Notamacropus eugenii: one gene and its partners. The protein of the gene in region 2 purifies or fractionates together with the protein of the main gene of each other region. This does not show direct contact. Links are inferred from orthologs where the notes say so. Each region holds a gene or a part of one and is shown on either strand. Other genes may lie near its edges. The genes, in order: SRRT, ZC3H18, VIRMA and RBBP6.

Region 1 (7,808 bases), on a different chromosome or scaffold from region 2:
TGTGATGCTCAGAATTCCCAATGCTTCCTCCTGACCCCATTGAGAGATATGCTCAGATCTAAAACATGGGACAAAACCTTAGGAGAGTATGGTGGGAAAACCAAAATAATGATTTTAAACAATAAGGGCAATATAAATTTAAACAACTCAGATTTTTCACCACATACCCATTATATTAGCAAAGATGACAAAACAAAAATGACAAAATGAGAGTGTCCTCTTGTTGGGTTGTGGATGAATCTGTTATTAGATCTGTGAATTTGTCTAAATGTTCTGTAAAATAACTCAGAATATTAAATGGGCACACCTTTTGACCCCAATCATACCACTACAAGGCATAGTCTCCCAAAGAGAACACTGAAAAAAAGGACCAAATGTAAAACATATATATATGTATATATATATATACATACAGATACACACACACACACACACACATACATATAAAACACCACGTTTTATGGGAGAAAACTGAAAACATTAAGTGAGGAATGAAGTATAGCTAAGTAATGGAATATTATCACATAGTAAAAAATGAGTATGAAAATTCCAAAAACCTCAGAAAGGCTTATATGATCAGATGGAGAGGAAAAGTAAACAACCAGGGAAACAATGATAACAACATTGTAAAGGAAAACAACAATGAAAAGTCTTTAGAATTCTGATCATTACAGTGACCAATCATTACTTTGGAGACCTGGTCATGAGCTAGAAGTTTGGATCTGAACATACATTTTCAGAGATGTCAAACGAGTTGTTAGACTAGGCTTATGTTACAAGAAAGATCTGGGGAAAATTTAATGGGAAGTGACTGGGATGTCCCCCGTAAGAAGGAAAATCAATAAACCAGAAAAAAATACACGTAAGAAAATAAACTTCAGGCAATCCCTCAGAAAACATTAATTTGTTAACCGTACTTAAAAACAAAATCAAACTATACATAAGAAAAGTTTGGTTTAATATACATTTAATAAGCACATAATAAAATACACTTAATATATATGTTTGAAAGGTTTTTGATGATTAAACTCATAAAGAAAATATTTATATAAAAGAATCGGACTATTTTACCGATCATTCCAGTCATCTCCCCTCCGTCTCTCATCTCTTTCCCTTGAACGATCATAATCACTTCGTTCTCTTCGGAATTTGTCCCTTCGCCTGCGGTCATACTCATCATCGCTGTCACCCATAGCAGAAGCTGGAAAGTGACCAGAAGCACCTGGTAGTAAACAAAAGGGGAGGAAATAAGCATTACAGCTCCTACTTCATGCTAGACACTATGCTAAGTACTTCACAAATATTACCTCAATCGATCCTCCCAACAACCCTTAGAGGTGGGTGCTTTAGGAATGGGTTACACAACTAGTAAGTATCTGAGGCTAATTTGAACTCCTAAATGCAGGCCAAGTGCTCCATCTACAGAAGAGCCACATTGACTTTGCCACCAGGGAGAAGGGAGTATAGAACACTCCCCTCTCTGGACCTACTCAAGTCAATTTCACCATTCTGCCCCCCCATAAGGCAGCCACTGCTCCCCTATGTATCTCTAAATAAGATTCCTTGCCCCACTCCTGCTCATCTTATCTAAAAAGACAATTTCTCTTCCTTTTCCCTCCCTTCACCATGAGGGTCCCTTAGGTTTCTACTCTTTTCTAATATTATTCTTCCACGTGTTCAAGAGAACCTGCCATGGCCCTACTACCAACAAGCTACCCTTACATTCCCAAGTCCTTCCCTCATCAGAGCAAAAAAAAAAAAAAAAAAAAAAGACTTTACTCAGCCTTTAAAGTTTGCAAAATGCTTATCTTGATAAAGAACGGCTAAAAAGGAAATTACCAAACTTTCAGAATTTTGGTCCAGTGTTATTTTCAATTATCCTCTAGACAGTTCTAAGCCTCATCATCCCTAATCCTGGTAAAATCATAGTTTTTATCATCAATTTAGGGCTGAAAGACCCAGAGACAAAGGAGCGTGGGGATTATCTAGCTCAACTCTAAAAAAATCACTTTGTAATCATAGATTAGAGTTGAAAGGGACGCAATGATAAAAGGACGTTGGAGATTATTTAGCCCAATCCTCTTACAGATCAGACTAAAGCCAAATCATTCCTTCTCACGGCAGACAACTAGAATTCAGGTCTTTCCACTTTAAATCCAGAGTTCGGTTCACTTTACAATAATATCCCTAACCAAGGCTCCTTAATTTTCTCCATCCCCAACAATGCAAACTAGCTCTTGTTCCCTCAGACATCTCTCTTTCCAAGAAAGATAAGAGTCCCACTCAGAGATCTTCCAGTTCTCCTCTCCACAGCTTCCAAGCGTTCAAACAGATACAGACACACAAAGACACCCCCCCCCATCCCCCAAGCTGTGCTCTCAGCTCCTGGACCTCATTCAGAACGTACTCCCCCAGCTCTGAGCCACCAACCATAAAAGATATTTATAAAGTAGTCTTCCAAGTTCTTTCAGAGAGCACCCAGGAAGGTGACCGGGGTGGGGGAGGGGGGAGAATGTAATTAGGTCCTGCACTATCCCCCATCTTCTGGGGCCTGTAAAGCTACATTCCCGCAGCAGACCAGGTAACCGAGGCCCCACACGGGATGGAGGGGGAAGGAACGGAAACGCCCCGCAACCCAGGCACCGCCTCGGAAACCCATCCCCTCCTCACCTCAGGCCCACCTCAGGCCAGGCCGGCCTCTGCCTTTCCTCTCCAGGAAACGAAGGCGGCTCGGCTCGGCGGCAGCCGCGTCGTCTTTTATCCCCTCTACTGCTGAGGGAGTCGGGGAGGGGGAGGCGGAATCCAAGGCGGGATTCACACAAGTCTGCGTGAACACAGCAGGGGGAAGCGGGGCAATTAGGGGCGCGGGGGCGACGGGGAGGGCCGGAGGGTCAGAACTAAGACGTGACGAAAACAGCTCACGGCCGAGTCCGCGCGCGCCGTTCCTTCTGCAGTGTCTGCTGGGAGCGACTGTGGCGTCGGCGTCAACGTCGACGTCAGCGCATGCGCCGCTCTTGGGTCGCGTTCTGTTTCTCTAGGGGCCTGGGCTGAGAGTTCCCGGATGGACGGAGGCGGAAGTGCCTGGAGAGGGGGCAAAGGGAAGCGGAGGCGTACGGCGTTTTGTTCCGTCTTCAGTTGGGTTCACTTACAGTTCCTGGCACACGTAATGTTCAAGACTCGGTGCTAAGCTTTTTGGGAGTCAGAGATGAGAAATGACACAGCTGTTGCCTTCAAGGAGCTTACGATCTAATGGGGGAGGGGAAGGAGCAAATATTATTATATTTGGGTGCCAGGCAGGGCAGCTAGGCGGCGCAGTGGATAGAGCGCTGGGCCTGTAATTAGGAAGCACTGGGCCTTCAGATACTGCCTCAAACACTAGCTGTGTGACCCCGGGCGAGTCCATTCTGATTGCCTCAGTTTCCTCATCTGTCAAAAGTTATCTTTGCCAAGAAAACAGCATCACGAAGAGTCAGACTGCAGGAGAATAGATGCCAGACAGTAATTTTACAAATATTTCATTTATGGAATGGGGAAGGACACATATACTGCCAGTGATCTCTTAAAAATGAATTAAACTCATTTTACATATAAGGCCACCCTCTAAAAAAAAGGGACGTAGATTAGTTTGCCTACTGTCATTATATAAGGTGTCGTCTGTGGATCTAATACATAATTCACAAAATACCAATAATGGTTTCCCTAGACCTTATCGTGAATGGTATTATATAATTCCCTAGTTCTTTGGCCCATTCTTTCAGAATCCTTGTAATGTCACTATTTTTAATATTGTGATCTGCCCCTCATATCAGGAAGTTCCTGCAAATTTTTAGTTTAAAAACATCATATTTTTCAAGCAAAGCATGCCTTATCTAATCAATGGGCTGATCCAGAATGGCAATATTTAAACTATTTTCCCTTCACTAAAAAAGGATATACGGAATAATTAAATATGTTCTCCTCATGGGAGTGAGTTTTCTATTGTTAATGGTCATCCTTCCCTAATTGCGTCCTTGCTGGTCTATGGAAAGATGTCCCCCGCCAAACTTAAAGAGAGTGGTATCTTTGCATGAATAGCTTTTTGGTAATGACTGGGAAAAGCATCTCAATTTATTTATCAAAAAATTATCTTACTGAGTTAGAAAAAATAATAAAGTTCCTTTGGAGGAATAAAAGGTCCGAAACTTCAAAGAAACCAGGGGAAAACATGTAAAGGAAGTAGATTGAATAGTATCAGACCTTATACTATAAGATGAAAGCATTTTTGAAGTGTTAAATGGATAATTTTGATTGTTTTAAATTAAGATTTTCTTGTACAAATAAAACTTATGCTGCCAAGAATAGAAGGAATGCAGAAAATTGGGGGAAAACTTCCATAGACAATCTCTCAGATAGGATTAGAATATTGCTGTGGTATAGGAATAATAAGCTGGTTGATTTGGAAAAACTTGGATTTATGAAGCAAAATGCTTTCCACCTTCAGAGAAATAGATGACAACTGGAAATAAGCATAGTTTGCATTACATATATGTGTATGAGTGTATATTGTAATATGTGTATATTTGTGGATATCTGTGTTTATATATTTATCCTCTTAATTTTAGGGGGAGGGAGGGAAAGAAAATAAGTGCAAAGAGTGCACAGCAGAGAACAAAAGAAAACCTACAAGGAAGCAAAGAAAAGTTGGCAGCTTTGAAAAAAATGTGTAGTATTGAATTACTTTTACTTGGCTTTTCTGGATTGAGTTTTAGCTAATCAAGTGCCTTTAATTGAATGAAGAGTCTTTGATTGATTGCTTGGAGAGAGTAGAGAGAGAAGCAGAGCTAAGAGAGAGGTGAGTGTGAGCAGGCTAGGAGAACTTGCTTGTGGGGAGCCCTAATAGAAAGAATGTTTGTGATATCAGCACTCCCTCTGTTGATGGGTTGATTTATCAGACAGAAGTCCTGTCTGTTGGTCTGTGTTAATTTCTCAGACAGAAGCTCTGTGGGTCTTTATGAGAGAATTGAGCTGAAGAGCTGAAATCTACCTATGGGAAGGAGCCTTCCCTTAAGCCCCTTTTAAGCCCTGTTAAAGTGAACTGAGATAATGCTGCTGGTAATGTGTACAAATATTGTTATAGCCTTGTTAAGCTTTGTTTTCCTAGAAACAGAAACTGCAGGCAGAAGCCCCTGGAACCTGCTGTCAGACAGAAGCAGGAAGAGTTTGGAGTGGAACAGTCCCTGGGACATGAGACAAGGAGCAGGAACAGACAGCTGCCTATGTGTGAACCCAGGCAAGAGCTGGAGTGGTCAGCCCATGGAGGAGGAGCCATGGAGTTTGGAAGTCAGCCTCAAGTCAAGATGAGAACTTTACAACACAACACTGTGTATTGATTAAGGAGATTGTTCTTATAGTGACCTAGGAGTAGATAGTGTGCTATTTTCTGCTACCTCTTAAGGATGCAAGGATGTATCATGCTACACAAGACCCTAGCCTAGGACATCCTGACTTTGGGGATGCAATGACATATGCTATGAGCCATATGGCATACTGAGTATTATATATATATTAGATGATATACTTTGCTTAAGGATGTTGCTATGAATGCTATGCTACTTTACTGAAAAATGTTTATTGCTGAATAAATAGAGAATTCATTATACTATGCCATTAGATCCTTAAAAATTATTCACAGTAGCAGTCCTCAGGTGTGCTGCCAGGATTGGCATTACAGTAGGACAAAATAATTAATCCTTCCTGCCCTGTAATGAAGATTAGCGACTATGCAGGAAGCATTATCATCTTTGTTGAACATCATCTGATATTCCTAATGCCACTCCTGCTTATGTTCACCTTTAAACACTGAGAAAATCACTGTGAACTGCGTAGATTTATAATCACCTATCACACAGACCATGATCATTTAGAACCAGGATCCAGTCTTTGGTGAGAAAGAAAGCTAAACTGACCTAAATTAGGTTAATCTTTGTTCTTCAGGTCTAGAATTCCTCAGGTATAGAATTGCCCCTCCCTCACCCCAGGGAAAGTGGCTTTTATCCTAAATCTCAAAAGACCTGTACCAAAGACTTAAAATATCTTATGTGATAGCTGTAATTCCAAACCAATACCCCATTTTTAATATGAGTTTAAGAAAATAATCACCCAGCTACACACACACACACACACACACACACACACACACACACACACACACACACACACACACACACACACACTCTCACACACTCACACATTACTCATAGGCTAGCCTTGTTCTCTGTTACATGGTCATATTTCTGTTATACACAAAAGCCTGTCCACAAGAATACCTTTTTATACTTTCTTGGTTACTTTACCTGCAATAATTTTTTAAAAACAATTTTCAAGTATTAGAATCTTAGTAATAATTATGAAATAAAGGGCTTATCCAAACTAGCTTACTCCACCTAAAGTACCTGGTTCATAGTAGGACTTAACACATACTCGTTTCCTTATGTGACATACTTTCTGAACTGTATTGGTGTTCTAGATACATATTTTAAATATTTGCTATATGTATCATTGTATAATATATATTAATACATGAAAAAGTTGTAATATATGTTGATACATGGAAAAATAACTAGTGGTTTTGAGTTCATATATGTTACTTTGAATTTTTGTTACACAGTTTTTCATAAAGCATTATTTGCTGCAGTAATATGCATTTATTATTTGTAGTTACATTCTAATCTTAACATTCTGATAATAATGCTAGCTTAGTCAAGGTTTTTTACCTCTCGTACTATGCTATTCTCTTTCCAATTCTTTTTTCCTAAAGCTCTCTTTCCCCCCCATTTTTTCCCTTCAAGTGCTCCCTTTCCTTGATAAAACCATTTTAAAACTCTTAAGAAAAAAAACAAAACTTTTGCATCATCTCTTCTAGGAATTTTAGTTGAATTTTTATCCAAGCTGTGGTTTTTCACTGAGGCTTTACTTGTAGATGTTTTGGAGCCATTATCTTCTTCTGGGTTCATGTCTTGAGCTTCCCTGCCACCATAACAGAATTTTATGGTGGGATTCTTTTTATTTGTTAATTTGCTTGCTTACTTGTTCTTTCAGCCTACTTCCTAACTTTAGACTTGATATTAGGGCTGGACTCTGTGACACTTCTGGAGACAGGGTCTGGACTGGCCCTATCGCTGCTTTCTTAAGATATTAGGTGTTGTATTATTCCAGGATCTCAAGGACAGGTTGAGTACTGTAAATTGTCAGTGCTCCCAAGGTGGGATCTAGAGAAAAGTCTAATTGCTACCCTCTGGTCTGATCTCTGCAAGTTCCTTACCTCAGTTTGTATCTGAGCATGCTCAGACTAGCTGTATTTAATCCTTATCAGTCAGCTGAAAAGCTTTCTTTTTTTTTTTCAAAATGGCAGAATTATAGACTCCACTTTGGGCTGGGATTCTTATGAGCTGGAATAGATGCTAAAAATGAGACCCTACTCAGGCCTGGAGTCTGAACTGTACTGTTTCTGATTGTTTCTGAACTGCCTTTTATTAAAAAAAAGTTCCCTGTCTCTGTACCAGAGAGTCTCACCCTTATTCACAGATCTCAGTCTACTCTGAATCTGTGACTCAGATGTGAGTAGGGGGGCAACAAAGATGCTGATTTGCCTCTATCCCTTTTGCAGTGCTGTAGTTTGGGTCTATTAGTTGTCCCAGTGTGGGTCTGGGCTTCTCCCTGGGCACTGGAGTGCATGATCCTGACCCAAACCCATCCCTTACATCTATATACCTCTCTGCAAGTCCTCCTATGCTGTTTGTATAGACAAATGACTCACATTATGACTTTTT
Region 2 (6,825 bases):
AAGGACTAATTCAGAAAAACCTGGTTTACTTTAGTTTTACAAATGAGACTTTCTGAACAAAAAAGTCTTAGCTGACTTCTAACAATTTTGACCAATTTTATCTTCTTAGATGAACTAATACTATCTATCCTATGATCATGAATTCATGTCAAGGTTTAAAGCCTAACGTTCAGGACTTTGTTCAGACATTTAAGGAATTGCCTATGACATATGAGATATGATTGAAAGGATGAGAATGATTTTTAAGAAGCAAAAATTTGCGATTCATGATTTCAGCAATGTGAACGCTCTCTCCATACAAAGTCTGTGATAACTGCACACCTAAATAGATTACATAAATGAAAATTCTGGGACCAAATAAATTCATCACCCTATCAGGGTTCTGGTGATAAGACTTCACTGGGTCTGGCTGGTCCTCAAACAAGTCCATTGCCAGGGTCCTACTCAAAATTTTGTTAGGACCTGCTAGACCTTTGTGCTCTGCTGGCACAACCTTCAAGAATGCAGTATCACCTCCACACCATCATAAAGCAACTAGAGAAATATTTTGGTTTTGTTTTTACATCTAAATTATGAAAAAAACCAAAATGTAGTCACTCTGCAAGAAGACATGTTTATTCCAACAAATAAGGCTCTTTATAAGACAAAAGGAAATTTTAGTAACAGTTCTATTTAAACTCACTTTTAAAACTTCTCTTTCAGTGTATATGGCAGTATTTTCAAATATATTAAATAGTGGCAAGTCTTTGTCCTTTGGGGAACAATCTGAATTCAGAAAGAGTAAAAAAGCAAGCAATCTCAAATCTAATGAATAATTGAAAGACTGAGCTGAGTAATAATATTTTTAGCCAAAAAGCAAGGGCTACTATAAATAATCACCTTGATATTCTTCCCTAGCTTGTAAAGGCTTTGAAGGCAAAGAGGACTCCTTAAAATGTTTTGCCCAATAACAGCATTATTGGAATAAGTATATAGCTTCCCAAGGGACTTGTTTGAAGGTCAATATTCATTTGGCTGTATTTTTAAAATTTTACTTTTTAAAGCATTCTTACTTTACAGCCATAACTCCGAGACCACAAAGGAGAGAAACCCAAAAGGTGAACACTCCCAGAAGGAAACAGTATGGCTGGGGACTGAGCATTAATTTCCCTCAAATTTAACTATGAGACTCATTGCTCTATGGCTCCCCCAATGTCCTAGGGCAGTCATTCATGCTTGAACAATCAAGAATTGCTGAAAGAAGTCAAAAACTACTTTGATCACAGGCAAGGCTTTACTGCACCTTTTCTGAAGCGGCAATACTGTTTCTCTGTGGTTACAGATGACCATTTAAAGACTATGGACACATCTTCTCAGGAAACTGTATGGCTATCAAACAACTTAAGATAAAAGGTTTCCTGGACTTGATGAAGCTGGCTCAATCAATAGTCAAGGTTTATCCTCTGAGCTACCCCAATCTTTCAGATGGGGCAAGGGTAGGGTGATCCCAGTCCCATCATCAAGCAAAGAGCTAAATCACTAAAAAGGAACTTAAGGCTTGCTGGTCAGAAAAAAAACTAATGATATGTCACAAAATGGCATACACTCACAAACGCACACACAATGAGACTCTCTTCTCTTATTTAAAAAAAATGTAAAATTCTCCTAAATTAGCACAGGTCCTGACACATAGCAAGCGCTTAAATGCACGACTTGACAATGGACTTAGAGACCTCGACGATCTGACCTCTCAGAAGCCTTCTTTCCTCATCTGTAAGATGAAGTAACAGTTGCACTAAGACTTCCAGCTCTTTGTGAACCTTAAACTGCTGTAGGAATATTTTTAAAGGTAAATGCGATAAAACTTGCACGCTCCACAACAAAGCACAGACAATCCCTGTAGCAAAGTCTAGGTTTCAGCGTGAGCTCAGGCACAAGAGCGGAAACCTTCACTTTCCCCAGCATGGCTACAGTTACTTCGAGCCCATCCACAACCCTCCCACTTTGCTTCCATTTCTTAATCAGACAGACATGGAAGTTACGCTGTCGCTTTCTTCTTTCTAAAAGGTGCAAGAGTGGCCTGGAGCACAGCCAGCCAGTACGCTCCAGAGAGGAAAGGCAGCAAATTCCACCCAAAAGTTTCTCACGCCACAACTTTCCGCGGAGGGAAGCCCTCGTGGACCGCAGCCGCTGGCCTTTGTGGTCGGTCAGCACGGGTCAAGTAAAGCTCGGGCCCAGCATCCGTGACAGCTCCGGAAAAGCCAGGCAGGCGCTCAGAGCGACCCCCACGGGCGGCCAGCCCCCAGCGCAGCCAGCGTCTCCAGGTTTCGGCCGCAAGCGGCCCGCCCTCCCGGGGCAGTGAGGGAGTGTGACCGCGCGTGCTTTGGGGCTGCATTCCCACCCCACCAGCCCCGAGCGCGCCGCTCCCCCCACGGAGCCGGGCGCCGAACCTGGCCCCTCCCCCCCACGCCCCACGCGCGCACGCGCACACACTCGCGCGCGCGCCGGGGGAGCCACGAGCCCTGAAGTGCTCGAGCCCCGAGCCCCTCCCCCCTCCCCGCCTCCGAGGCCCCCGCGCGCGGCCCGGCCTTTCGTACGGGGCCGCCGCTCCCCCCGCCCCGGCCGGCCCCCGCCGCGGCCTCCAGCCCAGGCCGGGCCTGCGCCGCTGCCGCCGCCCAGTCCCCGGCGCCCGCTCCTCACCTCACCTCAGCGCGAGGGCGGCCGCGGAGGAGAGGAGGGGGACGGGGCGGGGGAGGGGGGACGGCTGCGCGGCGAGGCGTCTTCCCGGTCCTTCCGCTCCTCACAGACCTTGGCTGCTTCGGCTCCGGCTCCGGCTCCGGCTTCGGGGCGACGCGGGCGGAACAAACGGGCTCCACTACCCGCGGGGGCCGGCCATTGTGCGACGTCATCAGGCCGCGACCGCCTCTCTCCAGAGAGCGGGCTTCCCTCCTCCCTCCTTCTCTCCCTGGCCTGGACCGGCCGCTCCGCCCCCTCTTCTCTCCGCGCCGTGCCGGACCGTGAGTGCCCTGCGTGCTGTGCGTGCCACGCTTAAAGAGACAGACGCTGCCTTTAGCCTGAAACCTTGCCGCAAAGGGAGGCGGGAGGCACTGGGGGAAGATAAATGGAGGCATATGGGTCAATCAGGCCTTGAAACCAATAAAAATGCAGTATATATGTTCTGGGTTTTAGCCACCATTCAGCACGCTGGAGAGTCAAGGACAAAACGAAACAGCTCTTGCCCTCAAGGAGCTTAGCATTCTAGTGTGCACATGAAAAGAAGATACTTTGTTGCATCTCAGCTTTGGAGGCTGCATTAAGTGCAGAATCACCGGCAAACAGAAAGTCATGCACCAGCACTCGCTCCACTTTGGTCTTGGCTTGTAGCCTTTTCAAATTGAAGAATTTACGATCAGTACAGTAGTTGACCTTGATGCCATGTTCATCCTCACTGAAAGCATTGGACAACATGGCTGAAAACATCATGCTAAAAAGCATGGGAGGAAACACACAGCCCTGTTTCACTCCATTGATGACTGGAATTTTCTGTTTGCAGATGATTGTGCACTCAATGCAGCCTCGGAAGCTGAGATGCAACAAAGTATGGATCAGTTCTCTACTGCCTGTGCTAATTTTGGCCTAATAATTAACACCAAGAAAACACAAGTGCTCCATCAGCCACCACCACACCATCCAGACGTGGAACCATCTGTCATAACAAATGGAGAAGTTTTGAATGCTGTGGATAAGTTCACTTACCTTAGTAGTATATTTTCCAAGGATGTACACATTGACAATAAGGTTGATACATGCATTGCCAGAGTTAGCTCAGTATTTGGGAGGCTCTGAAGAAAAGTTTGGGAGAGAAGAGGTATTAGACTGACTACCAAACTGAAGGTCTACAGAGTGTTGTGCTGACCTCATTGTTGTATGCCTGTGAAACATGGACAGTCTACCAGCGCCATGCCAGGAGACTGAATCGTTTTCATTTGAACTGTCTTAGGAAGATTCTGAGGATCACCTGGCAGGATAAGGTACCAGAGACTGAAGTCCTTGCTCTAGCTGAACTGCCAAGTATTCAAACTATGCTTCAGAGAGTGCAACTCTGATGGGCTGGCCATGTTGTTTGAATGTAAAATGTGCACTTGCCAAAAAGACTATTTTATGGCGAACTCATATGGGGCGTTGCAATCACATGGTGTTCAGAAGAAGTGATACAAGGACACTCTCAAGGTCTCTCTCAAGAACTTTGGATTTGATTGTGGGACATGGGAGACACTGTCATAGGACCACTCAGCATGGTGTGCCCACATCAGAAAGGGTGCTGTGCTCTATGAGCGAAACAGAATTGAGACAATACAAAGGAAATATAGGATGTGCAAATTTGGAGTAACCACCCAAAATGTTCATATAGACTATCTGTGCCCAATTTGTGGTAGAGCATTCCAAGTTTGTATTGGTCTGATCAGCCACAGTCAGACACACTGAAACTTGACCTTATCATGGTGATGTCATTTTGGTCCTCTTCGAGAACAAAGGACAACAATCAACCATACAAAGAAGATACAATGTAGCTTTGGGGAAGAGGGAAGAGCGTGGGGGGAGGGAGGTCCCCCAAACCAGAGGGAGACCAAGAAGGGCCTAAGCCTGGTGGAGAAGACAGTATTTGAGCTGAAAAGGATTCCAAGAGGAGGTGATGGAGATGGAAAATGGAATGCTAAACATGTCTGTGATCAGGGGCGGGGCAGGGGACAGCTGTAAGCCATCAGAGTCCCGTGGGTGAAGGGGAGGAAAGGGAAGAAAAGAGATTATCAGATTTTCAAGAGCTTGTTTACTTGTGTTGGCACATAGGTGGTACTTAATAAATGCTTATTAACATTTGGGCAGTTAGTGGAGGAAGTGGACAGAGTGCCAGACCTGGAGTCGGGAAGACATCTTCCTGAGTTCAGATCTAACCTCAGACGATGGCTGTGTTGCCCTGGGCAAGTCACTTAACCCAGTTTGCCTCAGTTTCCTCTTATATAAAACAAGTTAGAGAAGGAAATGACAGACCACTCCAGTATCTTTGCCTCCCCTGCAACCCATATGAAGTCACAGAGTCAGACACAATTGAAAAACGACTAAATAACAAGCAAAAATGTTTATTGAATGGATGGGAGTTTATTATGGCTGGGTTAGAAGTGGCAGTGCTAACATGATAAAACACCCTTTAGGAAAAATTGCTTTGACAACAAGTCCCCACCCACCTAGCACAGAGTGAATGTAAATACTAAATAGTAACTGTTTCTCTTTTACCCAGGGACCATGAGGTTTCCTTTCCCAGTTTGATTTTTTTCTTTTATTAAAGGGGTCATCCCTTGACTACTTAAAGAGGCCTCTTCAGTGAGAATGTACTAAGACCTTAGCCTAAAAGGCCAAGGTCTCACATTGCATCTTGGGCCATCTCTAGCCGTCCTGATGAAATCAGGCCAACCCAGATGGCTCTGAAGGAGAGAGTGAGGTTGGTGACCTTGCACAGCCCTCCCAAACTCAAATCAAAATCAACTGCAAGTCATGTCATCATCTTGATATCATGGTCCTCTTCAAGAATGAAGGAAAAAGCACAGCAGCAACTATGTTCCAGGCACTGTGCTAGACACTTTACACATAGTATCTTATTTGTTCTTTACAACCACCCTGGGAGATAGGTCCTATTATTATATTCATTTTACTGATTAGGCTATTGAGACAGACAAAGGTTAAGTGACTTGCCCAGGCTACCTACAGGGTAGAACAGGTAATAAGTGTCTGAGGGCAAATTTGAACTCATTTTTTCCTGACTCCAGGACCAGCTATATCTACTGGGCCACAGAGCTGCCTCCCAAGGAGAAACATTGTATATAAAACCTCAGTGGCTGAAGGGATAGTGGTACCTAAACAGAAATAGAGAAGTCTGGAAGAGTGATTTAAAAAAAAAAATAAAGGATGAATTCCATTTTGAGTTTGGATGCTTCAGGAAATTGGATGAGTCTGATGGGGTACCAGCCCAAGGCAAGACCTTCACACATTACCCCAAAAGAATTTGAGTCCCAATGGTCCATAGGCCCTGGAAAACCCCACCTTGAACTCTCCTTGAATCTTCCCACTTATTTAGTTTTTCATGCCCAAATGTTACCCTTAACCTAGCCTAGTCCTCCATTGTCTGTTACCTCCACATTGCCTCCTGCTACTTCCTACCCTTGATCCCATCGAAATCTCATTTTCCAATTGAAAGCAGTCACCAAGTGAGAGAATGAAGAAAGCAGAGGGGCTAGGGTCTTTGGGATACACTCATGGGAATGTGATATGAATGATGATTCAGTCAAGAAGAGGGAAAAACAAAAGGTCAGGCAGGTAGGAAAAGAACCAAGAGAAAACTTAGAAAAAAAGAGGAGGCAGTATCTAGAAGGAAGGAGTAGTCAACTATCAAAAACTGTTTTAATCAGAAGCCTTAAAACCTATATTGATAATTCTATGGACTTTCCTTATGAAATACCTGAGGCATTGCATCTAGTAAGCATTTAAGTGTTGTATGCAGGATACCCAGACTAAGTGAAGCAACCCTGGAAACCTATGTATTATTGGGGAATCAATAAACATTTATTTTGTCCTGAGGCCAGCTATACAAAAAGAGGCAAAAGCAACGTAAAACCTAATGGGGAAGACAACATACAAACAAATATATACAAACTGTACAGGATAAAGAGGAAATAATAGAAGGCATGAGAATTAAGAGGGCTTGGACCCTTTGACCCAGCAATATTGCTACTAGGACTGTATCCCCAAGAGATCATAAAAATGGGAAAGGGTCCCACATGGTCAAAAATATTT
Region 3 (7,209 bases), on a different chromosome or scaffold from region 2:
GAGTCAGGGAACCTAGGATTTCTTATTCTGTCAACATGCTGAGTAACCTTGGGAAGTCATTTCCCTTTTTCTAGGTCTCAGTTTCCTTTTTTATAAAATGAGGAGTATGGACTACATCAATGATTGCAAAGCATATGAGTAACTCTTTCTTTAAAAAAATCATGCAGAACTCATGATCATGCAGAACAGTTGTGGTACTACTGTTCAGTGACTGAGAAAATATATGACAAAAAGTTTCTTTGGATGCAATAAGGCTTCTAAATTAACTTAAAATAATATTTTATTATATTCAGACAATAACATGTACATATACTTGAAAACAGCAATATATAAATTCAACTTCTTTTTTATTTAATCTACTTGATATGTTTTCTCATTTATTATACTGAGTCACACTACATATTCTGTTGGCACTAAAGAGCAAAAATCACAATCACATTTACAGAATTTGGGACAGAAGAAACCTTAGTGACCTTCTAGTTCAACCTATATATACACAAAAGTAATCCCTATATAGGATATATATAGATATATATATATAGATATATATATATACACACATATATATAACATATAACATATGCAAGTAGTCATTCAGTCTCTGCCTCAAGACCTCGAACTAAGGAGAAACCACATTTCTTGAGGCAATCCATTCCACTTCTGAACAGTTCTAATTGTTGGGAAGTTTTTCTTGACATCAAGCCTGAATTTTCCTCTCTGTAATCTTCATTCAATAGCTACTTAGTACATCCTCTAGGGACAAACACATTAAGTCTAATCCTTCTCTCACCAGAAGAGCACTTCAAAATACTTGAACACAACTATCATGTTCCTCCTGAGCCATCTTTTCTTTGGGCTAAACTGACAGTTTCTTCCACCAATCCTCAATAACATGCATTCAAGATCCCTCACTATCTCAGTTGCCCTCTTTGAGCACTCTCCATCTTCTTATCAATGTTCTTCTTAAAACGTAGTCCCCAGAATGGAATGCAATACTCAAAAGAAGTCTGATGAGGACAGAACACAATGGTACAATCCCTGTCCTGAAACATAGTTTATGCATCACTTAATGGAATCCAAGATCATATTAGTTTCTTTGGCTGCTACAATCACACTGAGTCAGCTTGCAGCCTACTAAAACCCTCAGATCTTTTTCAGAACAAAAGTTACCTAACTATGCCTCTAATACTTATAAATTGATTTTTTTTGTGTACTCAATTCAAATCTTTATATTTACCCCCCTGAACTTCACCTTATTAGATTCAGTCTAATGCTGTAGCAAGTCAAAATCCTTCTGCATCCTGCCATCCAACGTTATCCTCCCAGATTTGTGTCATCTTCAAATGTGACGAACATGCAACATACTCCTTTATCTAAGCCAAAGTCACTGATGATACCTGGCAAAAAGACATTACTAGGATCCTCCTACAGTAACTCCTCCAGTCTTCTTGGACTACAGACTGGGAAATATTGGGCTAGGTAATCTTTAATGTCTCTTCCAACCCTAATGTTACTAAATTTCTTGCAGACTACAACCAAATGTTATGTCTTTCTATTCTTTACAGCAAAACTTTATCCATAAGAAATATTCAGTAAATATTCACCGAATACTCTAATTCCTACAAAAAGACACTACTAGAATGACCAACACCCCCATCAATGGAGTACCTTTTTTCTTTTTTGTGTTATTTTAGAAGCAGCAATGATTTTGTGCAGCTTCTTTCACAATTTATACAAAGTTTTCTAAGAAGCACAGCAGCTTGCACACAGTAGGTGCTCAATATAGTTTTAATGAATGAATTGCCCTGCCTGATCTCCAGTGTAATAATGAAAGTAGCCTCTGCAAAGTCTAGCTCACATTACATAGGCACTGTAACACAAAAAAGGGTAAAGATCACTGTTCTACGGTAAATGTTAACCTAATTAGCAAAGTGCTCTAAGAACTGAAGAAAATATGCAAAAAAAGAGCTTATGTGCTGCTGAACTAGTTAATTAAATGGTTCTGTGCACCCAAAAGCAACTTCTAAAAGCGAAAAAAAGGACCAGAGGAGTTACTTTTATTCAGGTCAACGATTCCCCAATGGACTTCCTCTGAACCCCGTTCTCTTCCAAATCTCCTAAGCCGTCCCCCTCTCCGAAAATCTGGCACAAAGAGGATGCCCAAGCAATAAGTCTTATGGACTGACAGTGGTCTGACTCGGAAGACTTGCTCAATTCCCATAGTAAAACAGTTGGTATCTGGACTTTCCACCTAGCGTCAGTAGGAAAAATGGAGCTGGGGGTGGTAGGGAGGAAATTAAGCGATCAAACAAGGATCCAACAAACCCGAGGCATCAGCTCTACCTCTCTTTCTCTCCCGCAATCAAGGTGCTCTCCCTGACCTCTCAAGGACACGGTCCCGGGAGACCCCAGGAGCCACGGTCATTCATTCCCCAGTTTTATCCTCCCTTCGCTGCACTGCAGGCCTAGAAATGACTGCAAGAAGGCAGAGGGAAAAGGCCGCGCTATGAAATCGCCCTCCTCTTCCCTACGGCGACAACCCCCTCTCGGGGGCGCCGGAGGTGCTTCCCTCCCCGTTCCCCCACCCACAGCGGGGAGCGAGGAGCAGGGCCGCGGCCGCCCCCGGGCTCCATCTGCAGGGCGGCCGCCCCGCGGAAAGGAAGAGGAAGGGGACAGCAATGGGGCCCCAGGCCCGTCCCACGCGTTCCCAGAAGGGTCCCCGGGGCAAGAGGAAGGGGCTAGGCTGAGCCCGGCCTCATTACCTCAGCGCTGGGGTGCTTGAAAGTGTCTAAAAATAGCAGCTCCATCGCCGAGTCCACCGCCATGTTTGCCGCGGGCGGGGGCAGGGGCAGAACTTCCGGGGTAACACAGCGACCGCGGCAGCGCAGCAGCCGTAGGACCAGCACTTCCGTCGCCGGCGCGCCTGCGCCGACCTCCAACTCCCCCTTTGCCTTCACGTTGTCCCTCGGCCCCGCCCCGTCCCGTTACGTCGCCGTCTCCTTCCTCCACCCTAGCCCCACCCCGGGCCTCCGCGGAGGAGAAGGGTCAGAGCATCTCGGCGATGCTACGGGTGCCCGAGAGAGCCAAGGGGATGTGGTGGTGCGGTGATGTGGACCGCGCTGGGCGAGTGGGCGGCCGGGAAGGAGGAGGAAGCTTATCTTTCTGGGCCCACAGTTATGGGCGCGTCCTCCGCCGCCGCCCTTAACGCTGGGACCTCGTCCCGTAGGCCAGAGAAGGCGGGAGACCAGTCCTGCGGCGCGGCCTCGCCCGTTAGATCTGGGGAACCTGCAGCGAGTCCACCTGAGTGCCCGGAGCCCGCTGTCCCATCTGGAAAATGGGTTTGGGGAGGCCGGCCCGGAAGCCTGGCCCCTGAGCCAAGGGTCCAGTAGCCTGTCGGTGACCCCCGTACGCTGTCACCCCAGGCTCAGAACGACCACAAAACAAACCCCAAAAAGCGTGCGGCGGAGGTGCGAGGTGGTTCATTAGAGCCGCTACCTCCCTGGGTCGTCACGTGAGCCAGAGCAGCCCCCTTCCGGACTGGGCTCCCTGAGCGCAGGACCGAGGACTCGCCGGACTGTCCGGACTGTCCGTCCTTACGCAGAAGGCAGGGAGCCTTCTCCTGCTCTCCGTTAGTGAGCCCATCCGTGTTCATGGGTCAAGTAAGGCTTGGTGGCAAACAGTGAAGGGCTTGCTAGGTGCCTCTGATGCCCCCTGGGGCCCTGATCGGACGGAGGAACCTGGAAAGTCGGGAAGAGAATGGGTTCAAATCCCGCCTGGAGTATCTGACTCTAGATGAGCAGCTCACCTTTTCCGCTTCAGTTTCTTCAGCCATAAAATGGGGACAGTAGTAGTACTTAGCACCCCAGGAGTGGCGCTTAGGGGGAGAGCAGGCATTCATACTCCACTTGAAGACTTCCAGTGTGGAGTATCTATCCATTGTCTCCCAAGGCAACCCATTTCACTTGGAACAGCGCCGATTTGTCAGAAAGGTGTTCCTCGAACCAACTCTCAATCTCCCCATCTGCAGTTTCTCTTAGTCCTGCCTTCTGGGTTTAAGGGGAACAAACCTAATCTCCTTCCACATTTCAGCAATTTCGAATATATGACAATGGTCATACTCTATCCCCTGATCCTCTCCCTTCTATGCTCAGTCTCCTCAGTCCTTTGACCAATCCCCACTTGGCAGGTTGGCCTGCCCTCTCACTTAGCTTGTCTAGCTCCAGTTCCTTAAAGTTTTTCCTAAAATGTGGCACCCAGAACTGAATACATCACTCCACATGTGATACAACCAGAATAAACTAGAGTAATATTTCCTGTCTTGTTCAGAATACTGTTTGATCTCACACTAGAATTTTTGGTTATCCTGTTCCTGTACCGATTCGCATATCAAGCTCCCAGTCCACTAAATTTCTAATCCTTTTTCATACAAACATTTCCCTAGGCAAGTCTGTCTCATCCTATAAAAGGGAAGCTGATTTTTTTAACCCATGTAATATTTTACATTTATCTTTTTTTAACTTAATCTTTTATGTTTCATTCATAGTTCTAACCTGTCAAAATCATTTTGGATTCTATCATTCAACATGGTTAGCTGTGCCTCAGCATTTTGTCATCTGAAAATCCGATAAACATACCATTTATAATTTCATGTCATGAAGCGAAGGGAATTAATCTAAAGAGTTCCCTTTGGTCATTTTGATAAGCATATTTCTCCTTTGGAGTACAAATGCTCAATAAATCAATTATTGTTGACTAGGGGGAAAGCTTTATAACTACCATTTTTGCTATGCCATTTGAGTAATGCTTTTGCTAACAAACTGAATCTACTGGCTCATTGGGGACTTCTAATCTAGTGTTAGGAGAATAATACCGTGTGTAAAGCACTCTGCCAAAATCTGAGAATACAAATAAAAAGATATGACAGTCCCTGTCCTCAAGGAACTTATGTTCCAATGGAGGGGACAGCAGATGAAGGTTTCAGTTGCAAATCAAATGAAAAGATCCTGTAGTCCTTAGAATGCAGCAACAAAGCAGATTCAATTCATTTCAATTCAATAAAGATTTATTAAGCATCTACTATGTGTCAAGCCCTGTACTAAGTACTAGAAATACAAAAAAAGACAAAAGACAGTCTCTGTCCTCAAGGAGCTTACAGTCTAATGGGGAGACAACATGCAAAGAAATATATACCAAGTAAGCTACATAAAGGATAAATAGAAAATAATTCACAGAAGGAAGACATTGGAATGAAGGGGGATTAGGGAAGGCTTCCTGTGGGAAGGAGTTTAGTTGGGACTTAAAGGAAGCCAGGAAGCTCAATAAGTGCAAGTGGAAGAAAGAGAATTCAAGGCATGGGGACAGGCAGAGGTGAGAAATAGAGTGTCATATTAATGGAACAGCCAGAAGACTAGTGTAACTGTATCAAAGAGTATGTTTTGAGGAGTAAGGTATAAGAAGACTGGAAAGGTAGAGTGGGGCTAGGTTATGAAGAGCTTTAAATGCCAAACAGCATTTTATATTTGCTCCTGGAGTCAATAGAAAACCACTGGCATTTATTGAGTAGAGACAACATGGTAATGCTTTTTCTTCAATATCATTTCCACTATTTTGTGATGTCCAACCATTTAATAGTACCAAGGACTTTAGTGACAGGAACTTTCTTCTCTGGTTCTTCAATAGTTGTGACTACCACTTGCAGAGCAGATGATGTGCATCTCCTGCTTCCCAGGATGATGGCTAAAGATGTTGGCCTGGAAGCATTGCTATTACAAAGGCTCTTGGATTCTGGGCCCTGCACTGTCTTCATTGAATCAGGGGAGGTAGTGATAAAGTTAATAGTGGTCATTTGACCTGCCTAGTATATACCTCTTGTCTCTCCCTCAAGGTGCCTTGCTGCTTCTACTAGGCTGACTTGTCTGTCCTATGAGTGGTAGTTAGCATGGATATTTGAGCATACCTCTCCCCTAAAAGAATGGACATACTAATTGTTACCTTGTTGATAAACCAGGTATGCCTCCTATTTGAGTTTTAGGGACTGGGGCTGTCCCCAAAAAGATTAGCTAGCTGGGACTCTGGAGATTAGAGTCTAATATAAAGAACCACTTCTCTGTGGTAAAAGAATAACAAATTGCATTCAGCTCTTTTTGTCTTTTTTACCTTTTTGCCTTTTATTTTTCTTCTGCAGTACCGAGAGTATCACAAAGGTATTGGGTGGGTAGTGGGTGGGTTGGTAGTGGGTGGAGGATCAAACCTCTTCTTCCCTCCCCCCCAACCTCCAGGAATAGTTGATGTCGACTTGCAGTAGAAGCACACGAGAAAATATCTGCTTACCTATGATGTAGCCTAAGAAGAGGGCTCCTGAGAGCAGACTCTTTCAATCCAAAGGCTGAAGTATCAGATCATAGGTTGAAAGTCGGAGAAGTCTTTGGAGGTCATCTAGTCTAACACCCTCATTTTAAAGATGAAGAAACTAAGATTCAGAGAGGTTTAAATGACTTTCCCCTATGTCGCACAAGTAGAAAGAACCAGAGGTAGGATTCAAATATATGTCCTCTGACAGTGAACTAGTACACCTTCCAAACTTGCAGAAGCATGTGGCAGAAGCAAAAATGTGCTGACTGATTCAGCCTAAAGTGGTTCATGGACAATGTCCTAAATTGTTTCTTTGGCAGTATGATCCTAGAGTCATTTCCTAGGTAGAGGAGGGAGATTTTTCTGGGCTGTTTGGAGTTGTTTGGGGATAACCCTAAGTTCAAGCATATTATAATACAGATATAATAATATAACAGGTAAATCAAGATTTCATAACCAGCATGATATGGAAATCTAACCTCCTAGCCAGTCAAGAGACTGGCAGCCCTAACCATAAGGATTGCCCTTAGAGCAGCCTTGAGTAAAAGATTTCAGGAATCAGACCTTCTGGGAGACAGAAGATGATTTACTTAGCAGCATTCTCTAGAGAAAAGAAGAGGATCACCAACCTGGCCTCCACAATTAGAGAAACACTAAGAGTTAAAGCCACATTATGGGATAGGGGTAAAGATAGAGACCATGCCCACCCCTCTTTCTGTACTGAATGATTTAAACAGTGCAGAGCTGATGGAAAAAGTTTACTCTTAGGCAATATCACAAGGTTTGGGAGTGTTAGTAGTAGTGTAAGTTTGCTGACCATAGGGGATGAGTTCTAATAGTTGCAATAGATGAGATATA
Region 4 (7,176 bases), about 650 Mb from region 2:
GGGCTTTACTAAATGACAGACCATGGTGCTTACTTACCATGGTATTGCAAACTTAAAATAAGATGAAACATAAAAAAGTAGGATGCTAGAAGATCTGACTAACAATTTGAAGATTGACTGTCACTGCCCAGTGTAATTCTCACATTATCTTGACACTGAAACTTTTACTCAGTACCTACCAATTCCAAATTTATAGGGCTCAAATATAACTTAGCCTGATATCACATACAAGGAAGAAAAGAAAAAGAATGCATGGAAATCGTTTGAACAACTTTTTCTTAAACAGATTAAGCTGTAGAAAAGCCTTATTAATACCCAAATTATCACCACTCACTTATTTAAGTGGGCTCCCAAAGGACATTTAGCAATCGCACTAGCCTAGGTAAATTATTACTTAGAAATACATTAAAAATATTACGTAAGATTAAACAACAAAACACCAACCCTTAGAAACATAGCAAATATGCCAAACCAGTGAGGTCTTATTGTAATCCAGTGAAATTTTGAAGCAAACTTGGTGTGAATTTTGAAATGGCTTTTCTACATTGGAAGTTATACATTTGAAACCTGTTTTGGCTGTTCCAGTTAAAAATGGAATTCTGCATTAGCACTAAAGAACTCAAGGTGAGATGTTATCAGTGTACTGGTTTTATAGAAAGTCAGTATTTAGAACCTAATTATAGTCTCAAAATAAAATTGAGTGACACAATTCTTATTCATTAATTCTTAGTTAATAAGGCTCATAAAAATAGCCAATGTTTTTATATTAAAAGAGCTTTTAGCAAGTTAACATGCTGTTAAAATCATATGGGGCACTAATAGAGTAAATCTATACTAAAAGAGTTTGATAATTTGCAAACTATATATTAGTATAGGCTATCACTTACCAATGTAAGAATTTATCAGATGCCTTGTATACATCTTCCTACAAGTGAATTTTGATTTAAGCATGCTACATCCAAATGTATTATTTATCCAAATGAAAAAATACTTAAAGGAGTCATTATAAAGCTTTAAGAAACATAAAGTAAGTTATGAAACTTAAAGGTTAAGGTAGGAAACTTAAAGTTCTCAAGGGCTATTTGTAAAGTCTAAGATTACAAACCACTTTCAAAGTGTATTTTCATTTGTTTCTTTATGAGTGCTCAAACTGATGGCTGGAATAAGGACTAGTACCCAAAATAAAATTAATTTTTAGTTATATCCACAGTGCGCGCCACACTGGAGGTGCTTAATAAACGGTTGGTGAATAATTTTATGAAGGAATCACAAATATTTTTTAAAGTATTTCAAATAAATCCCCATACAACTTGTTCACATCAGTACAGTGATGGAAGACATCATTCCTTTCCTTTTCCTACTAAATACTCCAAATCTTGCTGAATATGGTAAATGATACAATGCATTGTAATCAATGAATAAAAAACAATTTTTTTAACTTTAAAGCAAAATAGTTTTGGTTAAAACAAAAAATGTCTTCTAAATATTGAATAAAAAGTACCTATGTTTTGCAAAGGGGCAAAATTCTTCTTTGCTTAAATTACATATTACAGTGTTGTACCCTTAACAAAAAAGTCACTGGTCACTGGTGTTTAAAAAAAAACCTCCAAACAAACCAACTCCCAAATCTCTAGCCAATAGTGCTATGATCTAACAAAACTCTAGGATAGCTATAGATGCACTGGAGAAATGAAACCTATCATTTTACAATTAAGATCAACTAAAGTAGATATTTTAAAGGAATGAATCTCACAACATTTCCCAGAATACCTATTTAAAAATTAACATTAAAATTTTACTTTCAGCATCTCTACCTAGGGAATCCCACTAAAGAGAAGGTTTGATGTAGTGAGACTTTTAGGAACTCAAAATCTTAAATGTTCTAACTACACAAGGCAACAACTCCCTTTAAAAAATCTTAACCCCCACTAAATGTAATTTAAAACAAAACAACTATCTATTTGAATTCCTTTGAATCTATTACAATTCTTTACCATTTAAGTTAATGATTATTTTAAAATCTTCAAATTGTCCATTCAAACTAAGAGCTTTCAACAAGGAAGTTTTCCTTAATCTGTGCCAATATGGAAACTTCTGGCCTCTTTGCAGCATGTTCAAAAATCACTAAAAGTCTCCTAGGTATTAATTTCAAAATCAGCACTCAAAATTCTAACTAGAAAAATTGTATAAAACTGAGCACCTCTTACGATCACCACTGATTAGGGACTCTAAAAACACACAAAAGAACCCAAACATTTTCAACACTGAAGACTAGGTGGAAGAAATTCCTTTATGGCAGTTAATAAAGGAGAACCCCCACCTTAGTACTGCATATAATTTGGGGGATGAGGTGAGGAGATAAAGGGAGTTAAAATAAAAAAGACTAAGGAACCCTACCATCTTATTACATATGAGGGAAACCGAAGCAATTGGTCATCCTTTCCCCAAAAATCCTTTAACAAGACTTGCTGTGAAGCAGTTTTCACCAAGACTAAGGTCTTTCCCCTTCCCTCTCCACTAGGGCAAGTGTTAAGAAGGAGCCAGATGGCCAAGGGGCAGCACACAGCCTCAAAGTGCAGATCCAAAAAGCCACAAGTTGTATAACTAGACAAAAACTAACCTATCATTCACTTACTTCAGTTAATCTGCAAAGAAAGCGGAAATAAGAGATCCAGAACTGGATTAAAACCTCACATTTTCTATGGTTTTTTTTTACTCTAAGATGTTCTAAGAGTTTAAAGGTTTACAAAAAATAACTTTGCCAACACACATAACCTCTGCAAAGCAAAATTACAAGTAAAGTTTCCAAATCGAAAACCAATATTGATTAGGGCCCTGCGGGGCTCATACCTTCTTTCGTTTGCGCATTGGTGATCTGTAGATCGCAGTCAGCAGCCTTGAGCTTCTCTCTCCCCATGATTTGCTTCTTCAAATCACACAGGGAGATGTGCAGTCCATCAAAGGTAACGGTATCATAGTTGAGTTTGGAGGAAAATTTATAATGCACACAGGACATGGTGCCAAAAGTTCCCTAAGGCTCAGCGATGAGACGTGACACTCTGAATTATACGTATATTTATAAACTTAAGAGATATGTACACACACAGAAACACTCAGAAACTGAGGGAACCTTAGGCCTTATTGCCCCCCCACCACGAGTGGGGTTCTGAACCAAGAATCCCCCCCAAAATATTCAAATCACTTCATGGAGAGATGGGAGCGGGAGGGTATGGGGGAAGGGAGTTTGGAGGGAGGGCCTGGGTGGGGAGGAGGGAGAAGAGGGAAAGGAGAGGAAAGGGATCCAACGGGGAGAAGCCGTACAATGTCACCCAGCGGGGCCCCCCTCGCTCATGCTAAGGGATTGCAGGAGACAGGCAAGCGGGCGGCGCAATCAGCAGCAGTCCAGGGAAACAGTTCGAGTCCCCCCCAGAGGGATCAGGGGTCCATCGCGCCGCCACCTCCCCTCTGTCTCTTTCCGGCAACGAGGGCGACCCCAGGCCCCGGGAGGAGGGGAGGACGGGGCAGAGTCCGCCAAGGCCACAGGCCTCCTGTTTGCCTGCCTGTCTGTCTGTCTCCTCCTGGGGCGGCCGCCTGGCCGAGCTCGGCTCCCGGCGACTGCAGTTTTCTTCCCGATCGGCGTCAGCTCCCGGGCCCGGGCCCCCGCCCCGGCCCCCTTCCCCCCTCCTCCTCCTCCCCGTACACGGAGTCCCGCTGGGAGGAGACACGAGCACCCCGCAAACCTAGGGGAAGCGGGGCAGAGAGGCCTCCCTGACGGGGTCGCCGCCGCCTCCGGCTCCTTCTCCCCCTCGGCCGCGGAGACCGCCGCCGCCTCCTCACAGACAAAGCTGGGACTAGGCCGCACTAGGCCCGGGGCCTCGCCTCACCCCAGCCCCGAGCCAGCACAGGGACGCTGTGCGGGCCCCCGGCCGCCGCGGCCACCTTCCTCCTCTTCCTCTTCCGCTTCCCTGGGCCGGGAACGCCAGAAACCTCGGGCTCCGAAATCGACGATGGCGACGTCTCCTTCCTCAGCCGGTGAGCCCTTCAGCAGCGACAACTCCGGCCAGTCACTATGGCGGCCGCTGCTCTACTCAGCCTGAGCGCCCCAGTGCGGGGTCTCTTAAGCAGGCGCTGCACGGGCTCCGCGCGGAAGGCGGGGACAGGGAAAGGGGGCGGAGCCTCAGCGCGTCACAAAGCTCGCTGTCCCCCGCCACGTGACCCGGCGCATTATGACAAGCGAGGGCAGACCCTGTTTGCAGAAGGAAGAGACCATCTGGCTTGGAGTGGGGTGGGGAGGAGGCAGAGGGGAGGGGCTCATTGGAGGGCTAGGGGGGTGGCGGGGAGAAGGCAAAGAGAAGGCGAACCGACCGCAACCCGAGGGGCTTCCAGCGGCCCCCGGATCGGAAATGACTGAGGGCCTTTAGCGCTGCGCAGTCAGCGGGGCAGCGGAGACGTGCGCCTCTCCGGGAGCCTGCGGGCCCTGCTCTCTGTGGGTTTTCCTGGTGTGCCGTTGCCTTCCCCGGTAGATTCAGGCAAACAGAGGTTAAGTGAGTTTCCCGGGGTCACACAGCTATGAAGTGCTTGAGGTCATATTTGAACCCAGGACTTCTTGACTCCAGGCACTCTGTCCACCGAGCCACTTAACTGCCTTCTGTTCAGGTGGCTTACTAGGTGCTAACTTGGGGACAGAAAGAAAAAGCAAAAACCAAACAAACCAACCCCCCCCCCCCCAACAAAACAGTTCTTGTCTTAAGGGACCTACAATCTATGTATTACTTTCAGGAAGACCTGAGTTCAGATCTAAACTTAGACACCTCGCTAGCTGTGTGACCTTGGGCAAGTCATCCTCAGTCTCTTCATCTGTAAAATGGGTATTATAGTAACAGCACCCACCTTCCGGGGTTGTTTTGAAGATTAGATGAGATTCTTTTTGTAAAGCTGCAGGGCTTTTAGGTTTGCAAAATACTTTACAAATATCATCTCATTTTATCCCTAGAAAGTAGGTGGGTGTTATTATTATTCCTGTTTTACAAAATGAGAAACTGAGGTTGAGAGAAGTTTAATGAAACAACTTGCCTGGGGCCACACACGTTCAGATGGATTCAAACAAGTATTCTCACTTAGTTAACAAATGAAGTGGTTTCAGTCTCCTGTTAAACTGGGTTTGTAACTTTTTATCCTCTTGACTCTTTGTTCTCCCTCAGCTCATATACTTAATCATTGCTAAATCTTGATATTTCTTCCTCAACAATATCTCTCACATCAATCTTTTTCTTGAGTCATTGCATCAAAGAAGTAAGAGTCAAGAATGACTCTTGGCATGTAGATCTGGGTTACCAGGAGGAAGGAGGCGCTTTCTTCAGAAATAGGGGAGTTCAGAGAAGGGGGAATTTTGAACATGTTGAGGTTCAGAAGGCAGTGGAACATCCAAGTGGAGATGGCCAGCAGGGAGTTCAGAACTGGAATTCAAAAGAGATGAAGGCTGAATGTACTGATTTTTGGAGTCATATGTATAGAGATGATCATTGAACTCATGGAAATGGATGAGATTAGTAAAAGAGTGTAGAGGGAACAGACTTAGGTGGCAAAAGATAAATGAAGATATAATAGAGGAGACTGAGAAGGTATAGACAGACAGGTAGGAAGAGAAATAGGAGAGAACAATGCCATAGAAGACAAGGGAGGACAAAATACACAGGAGGAGAGACTGGTTCACATCATCAAAGGCTACAAAAGAGCAAAGCCCATAGGATTTAGCAGTTAAGAAATTGTTAATAAGTTTGGAGAGAGAAATTTCCATCAGTAGTGGGGTTGGAAATGTATCACAAGGGGTTTAAAATGAGAAAGAAGTAGGGGCAAGAAAAGTGGGTGACATTCTAGCAGGTTCCCCATCCCTTTCTAGGAGGAGACTGGCTGTTCAAGGGAAAAAACTATAATTAATAGTTTGAGGAGATAGTAAAGTCTACATAAGAGTTGGTTATTTTTTTTGTTTTTTAGGCTAGAGGAGAGTAGTTAACTCTTGTAGCCAGGTGCCCATAGATAAGGAGGGATTACTGATGAGAAGGAATTATCAAAAATATAAACTTTCAGAGCACTTAAGTAAAGTGCTTGGCCTTAGCAAGACAGAGGGTCACCTTTTCCTCAGAGAATGTAGTAAAGGAGGAGAAAGCAGGGGTGATAGAGGAATTCTGAGATGTACAGAAAAAGAGAGAGCCCATGGTAGTTGGCCTTGATTTTTTTCAACAAAATAGGAAGCAAGATTATCTGCTAAGAGGAAGTGGGTTAGGGATAAAGGAGATAGCTTGGAATATCAACCAAGAAGTGGGATAGGGAAAAATAAAAGGATTCCCATGCCAAAGTGAGGGCCCAGTTGAGATTACATAATATAGACTCTTCTCCAGTTCTTCTAGCAGAACTCTAGCATGGGGTTGGGGAGTTACAGCGTTGGGTAATCCAGGTTTTGCATTTGGCAAGGAACAGAACTGGTCAATTATTGGATCAAGAGAGTGAAGGGAGAACGAGGCCAGAGCAGGAGGGATGGAATGAACGAAAAGAGCAACAGTAGGTGATCATAACAAAGATTTGCCAGCTCTTGATCCCTGCCAGCAATTGCCTAGAACTGTGATTTTATTGGTGTAGGGAATTTTCAATGAGGAAACTCCTTGGTCTAAGGGTACTCAGTAAATTATCATGCTTGACAGTTGCTCGGAGCACTGAGAGGCTGAATAACTTGTCCGGGGTGACTCAGCCTATAGGTGCCAGAAGTGAGACTTGACTCCAGGCCTTCTTGACTCTGAGGCTGGTTCTGCATCCATTATGCCATACACACTGATGTAGTCTTAGAACCCAGGATCATCCATGCCACAATGAGTCACTGGAATGGGACTTTTGAGGAGGTTTCTCATGATACCAAAGCTAGATAAAGTTGTGGGTCTGTGGCCCTGAAGAGGAAGAAAGTTCACCTTCTTTTTGTTTTTGAACCTTACAAAAACCATAAACATGATCTATCAGAGCCAATAAGCATTAAGTGCCTGCTATGTGCCAGATACTGTGTTAAACTTTGGGGATCCAAAAGAAAAGTCATAAGTCAGTCTCTGCCCTCAAGGTGCTCACAATCAAAAGAAGATGATACATAAAAAGATGAAAGGGCTAAGTGGATGGGGTATGGATAGATATGAC

Evidence for each region.
Region 1: the proteins of ZC3H18 (region 2) and SRRT purify together in Homo sapiens (co-immunoprecipitation; 4 studies listed by BioGRID and IntAct, counting the BioPlex papers as one, with this or other methods). This does not show direct contact. The link is inferred for Notamacropus eugenii from reciprocal best matches to the Homo sapiens genes ZC3H18 and SRRT.
Region 3: the proteins of ZC3H18 (region 2) and VIRMA purify together in Homo sapiens (affinity purification with mass spectrometry; 3 studies listed by BioGRID and IntAct, counting the BioPlex papers as one, with this or other methods). This does not show direct contact. The link is inferred for Notamacropus eugenii from reciprocal best matches to the Homo sapiens genes ZC3H18 and VIRMA.
Region 4: the proteins of ZC3H18 (region 2) and RBBP6 purify together in Homo sapiens (affinity purification with mass spectrometry; 3 studies listed by BioGRID and IntAct, counting the BioPlex papers as one, with this or other methods). This does not show direct contact. The link is inferred for Notamacropus eugenii from reciprocal best matches to the Homo sapiens genes ZC3H18 and RBBP6.

Annotation. Positions count from the first base shown.
Region 1 is NC_092873.1:79,879,748-79,887,555, forward strand, and holds the start of SRRT (serrate RNA effector molecule homolog), read right to left. Parts: upstream 3,011-7,808; 5' UTR 2,671-3,010; intron 1,223-2,670; 5' UTR 1,194-1,222; coding exon 1,072-1,193; intron 1-1,071. UniProt on the Homo sapiens protein: Acts as a mediator between the cap-binding complex (CBC) and the primary microRNAs (miRNAs) processing machinery during cell proliferation.
Region 2 is NC_092872.1:705,297,992-705,304,816, reverse strand, and holds the start of ZC3H18 (zinc finger CCCH domain-containing protein 18), read right to left. Parts: upstream 3,018-6,825; 5' UTR 2,788-3,017; exon of another isoform or gene 2,680-2,787; intron 1-2,679.
Region 3 is NC_092875.1:158,466,621-158,473,829, reverse strand, and holds the start of VIRMA (protein virilizer homolog), read right to left. Parts: upstream 3,013-7,209; 5' UTR 2,826-3,012; coding exon 2,763-2,825; intron 1-2,762. UniProt on the Homo sapiens protein: Associated component of the WMM complex, a complex that mediates N6-methyladenosine (m6A) methylation of RNAs, a modification that plays a role in the efficiency of mRNA splicing and RNA processing.
Region 4 is NC_092872.1:59,381,045-59,388,220, forward strand, and holds the start of RBBP6 (E3 ubiquitin-protein ligase RBBP6), read right to left. Parts: upstream 3,017-7,176; coding exon 2,851-3,016; intron 1-2,850. UniProt on the Homo sapiens protein: E3 ubiquitin-protein ligase which promotes ubiquitination of YBX1, leading to its degradation by the proteasome.